Cricetulus griseus: one gene and its partners. The protein of the gene in region 1 interacts with the protein of each later gene in a pairwise test. Links are inferred from orthologs where the notes say so. Each region holds a gene or a part of one and is shown on either strand. Other genes may lie near its edges. The genes, in order: Pnma1, Sema4c and Atp5po.

Evidence for each region.
Region 2: the proteins of Pnma1 (region 1) and Sema4c interact in binary tests that used the Homo sapiens proteins (3 or more experiments, as listed by UniProt). The two-hybrid records come from large-scale screens. The link is inferred for Cricetulus griseus from reciprocal best matches to the Homo sapiens genes PNMA1 and SEMA4C.
Region 3: the proteins of Pnma1 (region 1) and Atp5po interact in binary tests that used the Homo sapiens proteins (3 or more experiments, as listed by UniProt). The two-hybrid records come from large-scale screens. The link is inferred for Cricetulus griseus from reciprocal best matches to the Homo sapiens genes PNMA1 and ATP5PO.

The regions. Positions count from the first base shown.
Region 1 is NC_048598.1:119,613,696-119,617,442, reverse strand, and holds Pnma1 (paraneoplastic antigen Ma1), read right to left. Parts: upstream 2,556-3,747; 5' UTR 1,890-2,555; coding exon 828-1,889; 3' UTR 101-827; downstream 1-100.
Region 2 is NW_023276807.1:11,637,728-11,640,753, reverse strand, and holds part of Sema4c (semaphorin-4C), read right to left. Parts: intron 2,772-3,026; coding exon 2,709-2,771; intron 2,583-2,708; coding exon 2,484-2,582; intron 2,334-2,483; coding exon 2,237-2,333; intron 2,106-2,236; coding exon 1,989-2,105; intron 1,897-1,988; coding exon 1,745-1,896; intron 1,661-1,744; coding exon 1,485-1,660; intron 1,161-1,484; coding exon 1,016-1,160; intron 917-1,015; coding exon 694-916; intron 601-693; coding exon 488-600; intron 1-487.
Region 3 is NC_048597.1:5,849,135-5,852,881, reverse strand, and holds the start of Atp5po (ATP synthase subunit O, mitochondrial), read right to left. Parts: upstream 2,172-3,747; 5' UTR 2,157-2,171; coding exon 1,992-2,156; intron 1-1,991. UniProt on the Homo sapiens protein: Subunit OSCP, of the mitochondrial membrane ATP synthase complex (F(1)F(0) ATP synthase or Complex V) that produces ATP from ADP in the presence of a proton gradient across the membrane which is generated by electron transport complexes of the respiratory chain.

The DNA of each region.
Region 1 (3,747 bases):
CATAGCAAGGAGATTAAAAAATTTTTTGACATGAGCAAAAATGTGCAGAGAAAAAATGTGCAGAGCTAAGTTACACTGAAAATTTTTTATACATGTCAGGAAAAGCAAGATGAGAATTTTCACATTTTTATTTGTATACATCTATTTGATAACTTCAAATTTAGAACACTTAGCATCAACATGACCAATAATTAAATGACAAATAATTCATGTGGGGAAAATGTAGCTTGTTTATGGAAATTCCCCCTGACTTATATTTGTATCTTACACCATGAAAAGTAGGTTGTGCCTCTTCATAAAAATCACATTTTTCTAACTTGCCAATTTTAATCCTAGAGTACTTTGCTGGTAAACTGGTTCTGATGTTGAGCCGTGAGGAATGAGAAATCTGAATTTTCAAAATGAGCAGTATCATCTAACAGACTCATATTCTTCCCATGTATATAAATTAGGGACAATGTACAGTAAAACTATCCACAATATTAGTAACAAATGTCAGTCTGTACCATACAGCCTGTGAAGCAGGCTTGCACTTTCACAATCATCCTGACAGGAAGTGTCTCAGCTTCACATTTTTCACAACTGTCAAAGATGTCACTAGGAGGGCTTGCATCAAGCATTCATTTTAGGCAGTATGAACCACCTCTACTGTTGCAGCCCTGGCCAATCACGCAATTCTGTGACTGCTACACAAATACGCAGGCCTGACTCCCCTATCCCATCCCCCAGAAAACAAAACAAAAACAGGAGGCTAGGTCTTTACTATGAGAGGCAAGGCTTGTAAAACCGCACAGGGATAACAAAAGCAGCCAGACTGATCCAGGGACTCAGAAGTGCCCCTCCAGGCCTAGCTGCAAAAGGGCTGCCTCAGCTTCCTCTTCCTCCTCCTTGGCTTCCTCCTCTCGAATCTGCACCAGCAACTGGAAGAGGTTGGGTGCCGGTCGTTCCGCAGCCCCAGTCAGCCACAATTGCCTTCGGATGGCCCCACTGTGGTTGGCCCCGGCGATGACCTGCTCCAGGCGAGCCTGGTTCACGTTATCTTTATCAATGGCCCCCTTTTCCACTACCTTTTGTAGCAGAGGCTCCAGACGAATGACGTAAGATGACAACTTTTCCCCGGGGTTCTGGTAAGTGTTCAGAAATCTGACCTGTGTATCTCTAGAGCTCTCCACGCTCCCAAACACCTGCTCAAGAGCCTTCAGGCATTCCGCGGTGGTTATGGCTGGGTTGTTGGTCTTGAGGATGCGAATGACATCAGCAGCAGGGCCTCTCAAACTCTCCATCAACCGCCGTCTCTTTTCTATATCAGACACCTGCCATTCTTCTATGACCTCATTCGAGTGCTCCAGCCAGGAATCAAAGGTCTCCTCGCCAGGCCCGGGAATGTCCCTCCCAGAGAATAGCGTCAGCTTCTTATACCATATGGACTCAACAAGAGGTTGAATAACATTATCCAAAATATAATTGAGCATCTCTGCTGGCATTTCTGGGCCTGGAGCGGGAGCAGGGTTCTGAAACCCAAGCACACGAGCAACATCTTGCACAGTCCACCCTTCCCTAGCTAGAAAGAGGTGCAGCCTCTCCAGAAACTCCGCATCAGAAGTGGGGGGCTTAAAGAACACTTTCCAGAGCCCTCCTTTGCCTGGCATCTCTCTAGGGATCAGGGAGTAATCCACTTCCCCGGTGAGCTCTAACAAGGCTGCCTTCGCATTTTCTTCCCTCCAGAACATTCTCCCCAGTACTCGGTAGGGCACTTGGGGCATGGCAGCTTGGAGGGTCTCTTCGATTTCAGCCTCATCACAGTTCACAGGGATCCCCCAGACCAGCAGAGCTCTCTGAGAGTTCACATCCATTCCCCTGCACCAGTCTTCCAAGAGCGTCAAAGCCATTTCGCCCCACTATTAAGGGTGCCAGTTCTACAGACACCGACTGGACTGGCTCGCAGTGCTATAGGACCTAGGACAATACAACATGCCTCCCTCCCCCGGGTAGGCCAGGGGGCGACAAGCTTCAAGCAACCACAATTACCAGTGACACCGGAGTCCAGTCTCGTCCCTTCCGGGTCCCAAAGTCAGTAGTGTCAGGTGCCTCGGGGCACTCTGCCTATCGAATGTCGCCCTCTTTGGTCCGAGCAGGTGCGGGCTGGCCGCAGCTATTCGTGGCCTCACGGCGGGCAGGGGAGAAGCAAGGTTGGCGCAAGGCGGTGGGCTTCAGCTTCACGAGGGAGACGGCCGGGTGCGGTCGCGGGGTGTGGCAGCTCCCCCCCGCCGCTCTCGGGCCGGCCGGCCGGCGGTAGGCGCGGGCGTAGGGTCACGCGAGGCAGTGGCTGGGAAGACGCCGGGAGAGGCGGTACTCGGGTCCGGCGGCTGCGGCAGCAGGCGAGCACCGGGGACGGAGGCCTCAGGGAGGCGCGGAAGGCGGGAGGCCGGATGGAGGCAGCTCCGCTCAGCGTCTAGAGCAGCGCGCTCCCGCAACGGCCGCCGCCGTGCAGCTGCAGTGCAGGGCGGGGCCGGTCCGCTCGTCAGTGTCGCCGTGGCAACCGTATCCATGACGACGGGAGATGCGCGAGCTCCAGAGGATCTGGCGGTTGCTATGGTACCGAGGGGTTGAGGAGTCTATTTTGTGATGGCGCGCGCGCGCGCGCACACACACACACACGTATTTCCCAGCTTCTTTCTTAACAATAAATATTGCAAAGCATCGTTTTCTTTTTTTCTTAATCTAATTTTGCTGTGAATTTAAGTTGGCCTTATTGATACGCATCCACCACGACAGACTTGTCTGTCTCATGTTGCTCATCCAGCTTATGCATTCACTATGCAGCCCATGAAAACACTCAGCACTCTGACTTCTGCGTACCTCCTGACCACACACCACAGCTGCTGCTTGCTCCTCCCCAGGAAAGCAAAAGACAGAATGCCATCTCCAGGTTCCTGTGAGACTTACTATGCTTTCTTGCCTAAATTTTGTATATATATATATAAAAAAAACCAACAAAATGCTGCTGCTGCTACTTCTTTGTAGCCAGGCAAACTGCAAACACTTTCATTTCTTGATCTTACTGAGTATACAGGATAACAAAAGAGAATGCTTAAGGCTCAGAAAGGTAGGGTAAATTCTCTTCAAGCAAGGCCTGTCAATCCCAGCTGGCAAAAACATCCCTATAAATCAGGCGGGCCTTGGTGGCCCATGCCGTTAATCCCAGCACTCGGGAGGCAGAGGCAGGAGGAGCTTTGTGAGTTCAAGGCAAACCTGATCTATAAATTGAGTTCCCGGCCAGGCTCCAAAACTACACAGAGAAACCCTGCCTCAAAAAATCAAATAAATAAATAAACACACAAACCCCACCCCTATAAAGATATGGCATTGGGGGCTGGATAGAAGGCTCACTGGTTAGGAGCATTGGCTGCTATTCCAAAGGACCTGGGTTCAATTCCCCGAACCCACATGGCAGCTCACACCTGTCGGTAACCCCAGTTCCCAAAGATCTAACAACCTCACACTGATACACATGCAGACACAGAACACAAATGCAAATAAAATAAAAATAAACAAATCGTTACAAAAAAAAGAATATGGCGCCGGGCATTGGTGGCAAACTCCTTTAATCCCAGCACTCGGGAGGCAGAGGCAGGCGGATCTCTGTGAGTTCAAGGCCAGCCTGGTCTTCAGAGCAAGTTCCAGAACAACCTCCAAAACAATACAGAGAAAACGTGTCTCAAAAAAAAAAAAAAAAAAAAAAGGAAA
Region 2 (3,026 bases), on another chromosome or scaffold:
AGTCCAGAGGGTACTGTGGATATGCCAGTTTTGTATGAAGGTAAAAAAAAAAAAAGCAAATGCTTCAAGGAAATGATCCAGGAAATTGAGGGCCTGACAGAGACCCACTGGGAACTAGAAGAAAACTGATGTCCCTGATGCATGGGTACCAAAAACATCTTGGAGTCTGGGAGGTCTGGTCAATGACTGAGAAGAGGTTACAGGCAAAGCCCCAGACCCACTTGGAAGGGCCTGAAGAAAACATCAGTGCATTTGCCAAGGCTGGATTCTGGGAATGGGGGCCCCACAGGGACTGGCTCCATATAAGAACTCTTGGAGGGCAGGTTCCGGTGTGTTAGTGCTCTTACTCCCTGGAACTCACAAGCGCTAAGTGAGGAGTCCTGAGCTGGCCAATCACATGAGCCCGATTAGGGAAGCAGAAAGACTGGGTGTGAGATGGATGGTGATGCAGAGGGCAGTGGGGAATCTGTGTGGTTCATCCTACTACCTGGCTCTGAGACAGCACCAGACTTCCCACTGGCTCCTGGTCAAACACCTGCAGTTCCTCTATCACATGGATCCAGGGCCCCAGGTTCACAGCCTTCAGCAGCCAGCCATCTCCTGGAGAGGTGATGAGGAGGGGTGTGTTAATGATGAGGCCTCAGGCCTGGGGCACCCCCAGGCTCCCAGCCTTGGCACACCCAAAGAGCCTACCTGTACCAATGAACAGCACTGTATAAGTGGCACCATCGAGCCCTGTGACCCTGTCGGCTGCCATGTGTGTGAAGTTAGTGTTCTTCTTCACAAGCAGGGGGCGGCCCCACCGAGGCTGCACCTGATCCTCCATCAGGGGGTGCTTTTTGATGAAGTTGAGGATGTTGTCAGGCAGCTCCAGAGAACTGGTGTAGCCGTTGTGGCGGTGCCAATTGTTGATGCACTGTGTGGGGGGAGGGATATGGGAAGAGAGCCATCAGCTGGGTGAATGAATGGGTCTTGGAGCTGACGTTGGGAACACAGCCCCATGCGGAAGACTCACCGAACCGGGCCGAGGGCTGGGTACTGGGTCAGTATAGCGGGCCCATTTCTGGGCTTGCTCACTGTATTCTTTGTAGGGACCCTCGAACACCTGCTGGATCTGTTCCAACTGGTACTCACAGACTGCTGACAGGTCCATATCACCCCTGGTACAGCAAAGGAAGGACCTTGAATGTCGGGTCTGGTGCCTACTTGCCCGCACCACACCCCAGCTCCAGAGGAAGCACTAAGAAGGCAGGGCTCGAGATGGAGCAGTCATGGCCATGAGGTGGCTCTGAGGTAACACCTGAGGCAGTTTCTGCTCCTCTCCCCCACAGAGCTTTAAAAAGAGCAAGCCAGAGTGATCTTGGCTGCCAGGCACTGACCAGCTGGACTTCCTCCAGAGACCTGTGCAGGCCCTCACACCCACACACCATCTCCGACCTGACCACCTGCTCCTCCCTACCCCCAACAACGCCAGAGCTACTTACCACCGTGCTTGAAAAACCCCAAAGAAGGTGGTGTTTTGCCAAGAGGCACCCAGCAGGGTGTGCACTGACCGAAGCTGGTTGAAGTAGACCTTCCAGTCAGGGGCTGCGCACGCCAACTGTGCTTTTAGGAAAGTTGTCCACTTCTTCTGTAGGGTCCGTGCGCCCCCCATGTCGCCCTGGCAGATGGCAAGGAGACATGGCTGGTCAGCCCCTGCCAAGCCTTCAGGGCTCCCACTGCCCACCACTGCGGAACTTGGTACCTTACAGACGCGAGCCACACGAGCCACCACCTGCTCAGCATAGCAGTCATACTCGACCGCCCGCTCACTGAAGAAGAAGTAGACCTTGTCATCGTCCCCCGTGAAGCTCCCCACACTCTCAGGGACATAGGCAGAGCCTACAAAGTGGGGTTCTGGGGCAAAGTAAGGAAGGTCAGTGGCAGGGTGCCAGGGCCTTTGAAGGCCCTTCCACTCTCGGCTTCCCCAATCCCACTCCATGACTCACCATTCAGCCAAAACGCCAGGTACTCTGTTTTGACGGGGTGGTGGGGGCCCATGTTTCGCAGGATAATAGGCTCTGTACCCAGGAAGTTGTTGAGTGTGGCTGAGAACATCTCACCGTCTAGAAGAGACAAATGGCAGGTCAACTAAGCCAGAAAAGTAAGGTACGGATGTACTCTGGAGACAAGTATCCGGAATGTGACTAAAGTCCCATGAGGTTTACCCTGTCTGTACTGAAGGGTAGCCACTCACCCACAAGGAGTCCAGTGTGGCCCTTAGCTGGGTCATAGGGGCATTTACCCTTCCCATCCTCAAGTTCTTCACGCTTCAATTTGAAACTGAGCTTGTTCTAGGGGCAGGAAGACATGGAAGACAGGCATTAATATGGGGGCCCTGCTCGGCCTGAAAAATCCTGGTCTCGAGAGTCCAAGGAAGGAAGTCACAGAAATTAGGGGCAGGTGGGTAAGGGACACACCCAAAGAGGGAGGGTAACACTCACGATGTAGGTGCACTTGGGCTGGAAGGCATAGGTACCACAGACGTACAGGTGGGAGGTATTGTATGGCTGAAGGAAGCAGATGAAGTTGAAGCACTCGGTCTTCAGAGAGAAAGGTATACAAGTTAGTGAGCACTGAGAATCAGAGACGCAGGATCACCAGGGTCCAGAGGCCAGGGAGGCGAACATGCCACAGAGGTCTGGCAGGGGAAGTGCCCTGACACCCACCTGGTTGCTCTTCCCTTTCCGGGTACACTCAATCTTCTTCTCAGTCGGGGCCCTCCAGGTGATCTGAGGATGGGAAATGACATATCAGCCATGTCACAGGCATGTGTTAAGTATGTGCCGCAAACACAGCTTGAGCTATATACCACAGGTGACACACCTGGTCCCCATTCTGACACAAGCCCGAAATTATCCCTCCTGGCAGAACCCAAAGGGATTAGAGAGCAATCACTAATCCTGACACCAAGAGCGACCTCTGGGCTGAGTGAGGGACAGGCCACACCGCCCCCAGTCCTTTTCCTTTCCCCTCTGTGTGCCTCC
Region 3 (3,747 bases), on another chromosome or scaffold:
ACACAGGCTGACACACACACAGGCTCACACACAGGCTGACACACACGCGGGCTAGCCCCCACACAGGCTCACACACACACGGGCTGACACACACACAGGCTGACACACACACGGGCTCACACACAGGCTGACACACACACAGGATGACACACACACAGGCTCACACACAGGCTGACACACACGCGGGCTAGCCCCCACACAGGCTCACACACACACAGGCTGACACACACACGGGCGAGCCCCCAGACAGGCTCACACACACACAGGCTGACACACACGCGGGTTAGCCCCCACACAGGCTGACACACACACGAGCTAGCCCCCACACAGGCTGACACACAGGCTGACACACACGCGGGCTCACACACACACAGGCTGACACACACACGAGCTAGCCCCCACACAGGCTGACACACACACGGGCTGACACACATGCGGGCTAGCCCCCACACAGGCTGACACACACACAGGCTGACACACACACAGGCTGACACACACAGGCTCACACACACACAGGCTGACACACACGCGGGCTCACACACACACGCGGGCTCACACACACACGGGCTGACACACACACGGGCTCACACACACACAGGCTGACACACACACGGGCTCACACACACAGGCTGACACACACACGGGCTCACACACGGGTTAGCCCCCACACAGGTGACACACAGGCTGACACACACACAGGCTGACACACACACGGCTGACACACACACACAGGCTGACACACGGGCTCACACACAGGCTGACACACACTCAGGCTCACACACGGGCTCACACACAGGCTGACACACACACCTAGCACACAGGCTGACACACAGGCTGACACACACGCGGGCTCACACACACACAGGCTGACACACACACGAGCTAGCCCCCACACAGGCTGACACACACACGGGCTGACACACATGCGGGCTAGCCCCCACACAGGCTGACACACACACAGGCTGACACACACACAGGCTGACACACACAGGCTCACACACAGGCTGACACACACACGGGCTCACACACACACAGGCTGACACACACACGGGCTCACACACACACAGGCTCACACACACAGGCTGACACACACACGGGCTCACACACACACAGGCTGACACACACACGGGCTCACACACGGGTTAGCCCCCACACAGGTTGACACACACACAGGCTGACACACACACTCAGGCTGACACACACACAGGCTGACACACACACAGGCTGACACACACGCGGGCGAGCCCCCACACAGGCTGACACACACACAGGTTGACACACACACGGGCTAGCCCCCACACAGGCTGACACACACACAGGCTGACACACAGGCTGACACACACTCAGGCTGACACACAGGCTCACACACACACAGGCTGACACACACACGGGCGAGCCCCACACAGGCTGAACACACACAGGCTGACACACGCGGGCTGACACACACAGGCTGACAGGGGCTAGACACACCACAGGCTCACACACAGGCTGACACACACTCAGGCTCACACACACAGGCTGACACACACACGGGCTCACACACACACAGGCTGACACACACACGGGCTCACACACACACAGGCTGACACACACACGGGCTCACACACGGGTTAGCCCCCACACAGGCTGACACACACACAGGCTGACACACACACGGGCTCACACACACACAGGCTGACACACACACAGGCTGACACACACACAGGCTGACACACACTCAGGCTCACACACAGGCTGACACACACACAGGCTGACACACACACGGGCGAGCCCCCACACAGGCTCACACACAGGCGCGGCCCGCGCGGCCTTCCCCGCTGCCCCTTGGCAGTGACCCCCGGCCGAAGTCAAGGTCAGGACGGCGCAAGCCCGCTCCCCGACCTCCACGGCCCTTGGTGGGCGGGCGGTCTGACCCTTCAGCCGCGGCCTCGCACGCGGCGCCGGGGCCCGGGGCCGGCTCCCGGGCAGGGGCCCCCGCCGGCTCCTTGTACCTGTCGGGACAGCCCGCACGCGGCCATCTTTCCCCGGCGGAGGTAGGTCACTCCCAAGCGGCGCCCACAGGTGCCAGAGCGCACGCGCGCGCCGGCGTGGCCGCTCAGCTCTCTGGGAAATGGGCTCCCCGGGTGCCAGGGCGCATGGGTGGAAACCTCTTGCATGCTGGGAGTTGTAGTCCATAGGAGCCGGGCGTCCCAACTAAATCTTCAATTACTGGCGGAGCGGGTCTTCGTGTGGAGTGGATGTGCGGTCTTTAGTTTAGGGTTTCCACTTAGATGCTTTGCACACTCATCACCGGTGTCGTTGCCTCGTAGTGTGTAGTGTGTAGTGTGTAGTGTGTCCGTGTGTCGTAGCCTGCTTCACTGGCCAGGCTTCGTGCTTCGCTTAAACAAATGAAAGCCAAAAGCACGAGCGAACCCCCGCAGCGGGGCACTCCTGGGACAGGCTTCCCGGGCCGGTTCTCTCCCGCTCCTTCCGCGGCTTGTCACACTTGGACGGTGTGTGCAATCAGGGTAGAGATCAGAACCAGAACCAGCTTCTAATCAAAGATGACGCAGAAAGTCAAAAGCCAGCTGGCTCGAGCCTTGCGTCCGCACAGCCGGCCGGCTCTCAGTTTCCTCCTTCACAGCAAAGATCCGGCTACAGGGGTTCCTGGTTCTAACGCGTGAATAAACTTAAAAAAAGAAAAGAGAAAAGAAAAGAAAAAAGCTGTCGGAGGTTAAGAGCACTGGCTGCTCTTCCAGAGGTCCTGAGTTCAATTCCTAGCAACCACATGGTGGCTCACAACCATCCGTTATGAGATCTGGTGCCCTCTGCTGGTGTGCAAGCAGACATACAGACAGAACACTATACATGAAAAAAAAAAAAAAAAAAAAAAAAAAAGCTTTCTGCTCAGATTTAGTAGAGGAATACATTTAGTTGATTTGTCCTTTTAGGGTATAACATTTTCTTTATTACTTTTTTTAATGGAGAGATATTTTCTACCACCCAGAGGCAACATCATGGTGAAGTGTTTACCGAAAAAAAATTTTTTAGGCGGCAGAGTGCCCAGGTTTGAATCTTAATAGCTTTGTAACCTTGGTATAATCACACAAGTTTTCTGTGCCTCAATTTTCTTAGCTATAAAATTGTTATTATAGTAGTGTAGTACCTGCCTTACACTATGTTAGGAAATTTAACATATTTATTTATGTTAGCACATATGAGTACATAGTTGACAGAATTCTTCATTTTGTGTTTGTGCTTTTTATACAGAGATTCACAATCTATCTATCTGTCTGTCTATCTATCTATCTAGCTATCTATCTATATACTTTAGTGTCTTCTCTTTCGCCTTAATATGAGGGGAAAATGGATATGGAATTATATATGGGCTGTGAATACAGTCTTTAAAGAATTAGTTTATTTATTTATTTATTTATTTATCTTGGCTTTTTGAGACAGGGTTTCTCTGTGCAGCTTTGGAGCCTGTCCTGGCACTCACTCTGGAGACCAGGCTGGCCTTGAACTCACAGAGATCTGCCTGCCTCTGCCTCCCGAGTGCTGGGATTAAAGGCGTGTGCCACCAACGCCGGCAAAGAATTATTTTATGTGTCAGTATTTGCCTGCATCTATGTTTGTGTGTTATGTATGTGTGTGCATATTGTCTGAGAGACCAGGAAAGGATGTTGGAGTTAGAGGCAGCTGTGAGCTGCCCTGTGGGTGCTGGGGACTGAACACAGGTCTTCTGCAGGAGCAGTCAGGGCACTTAAC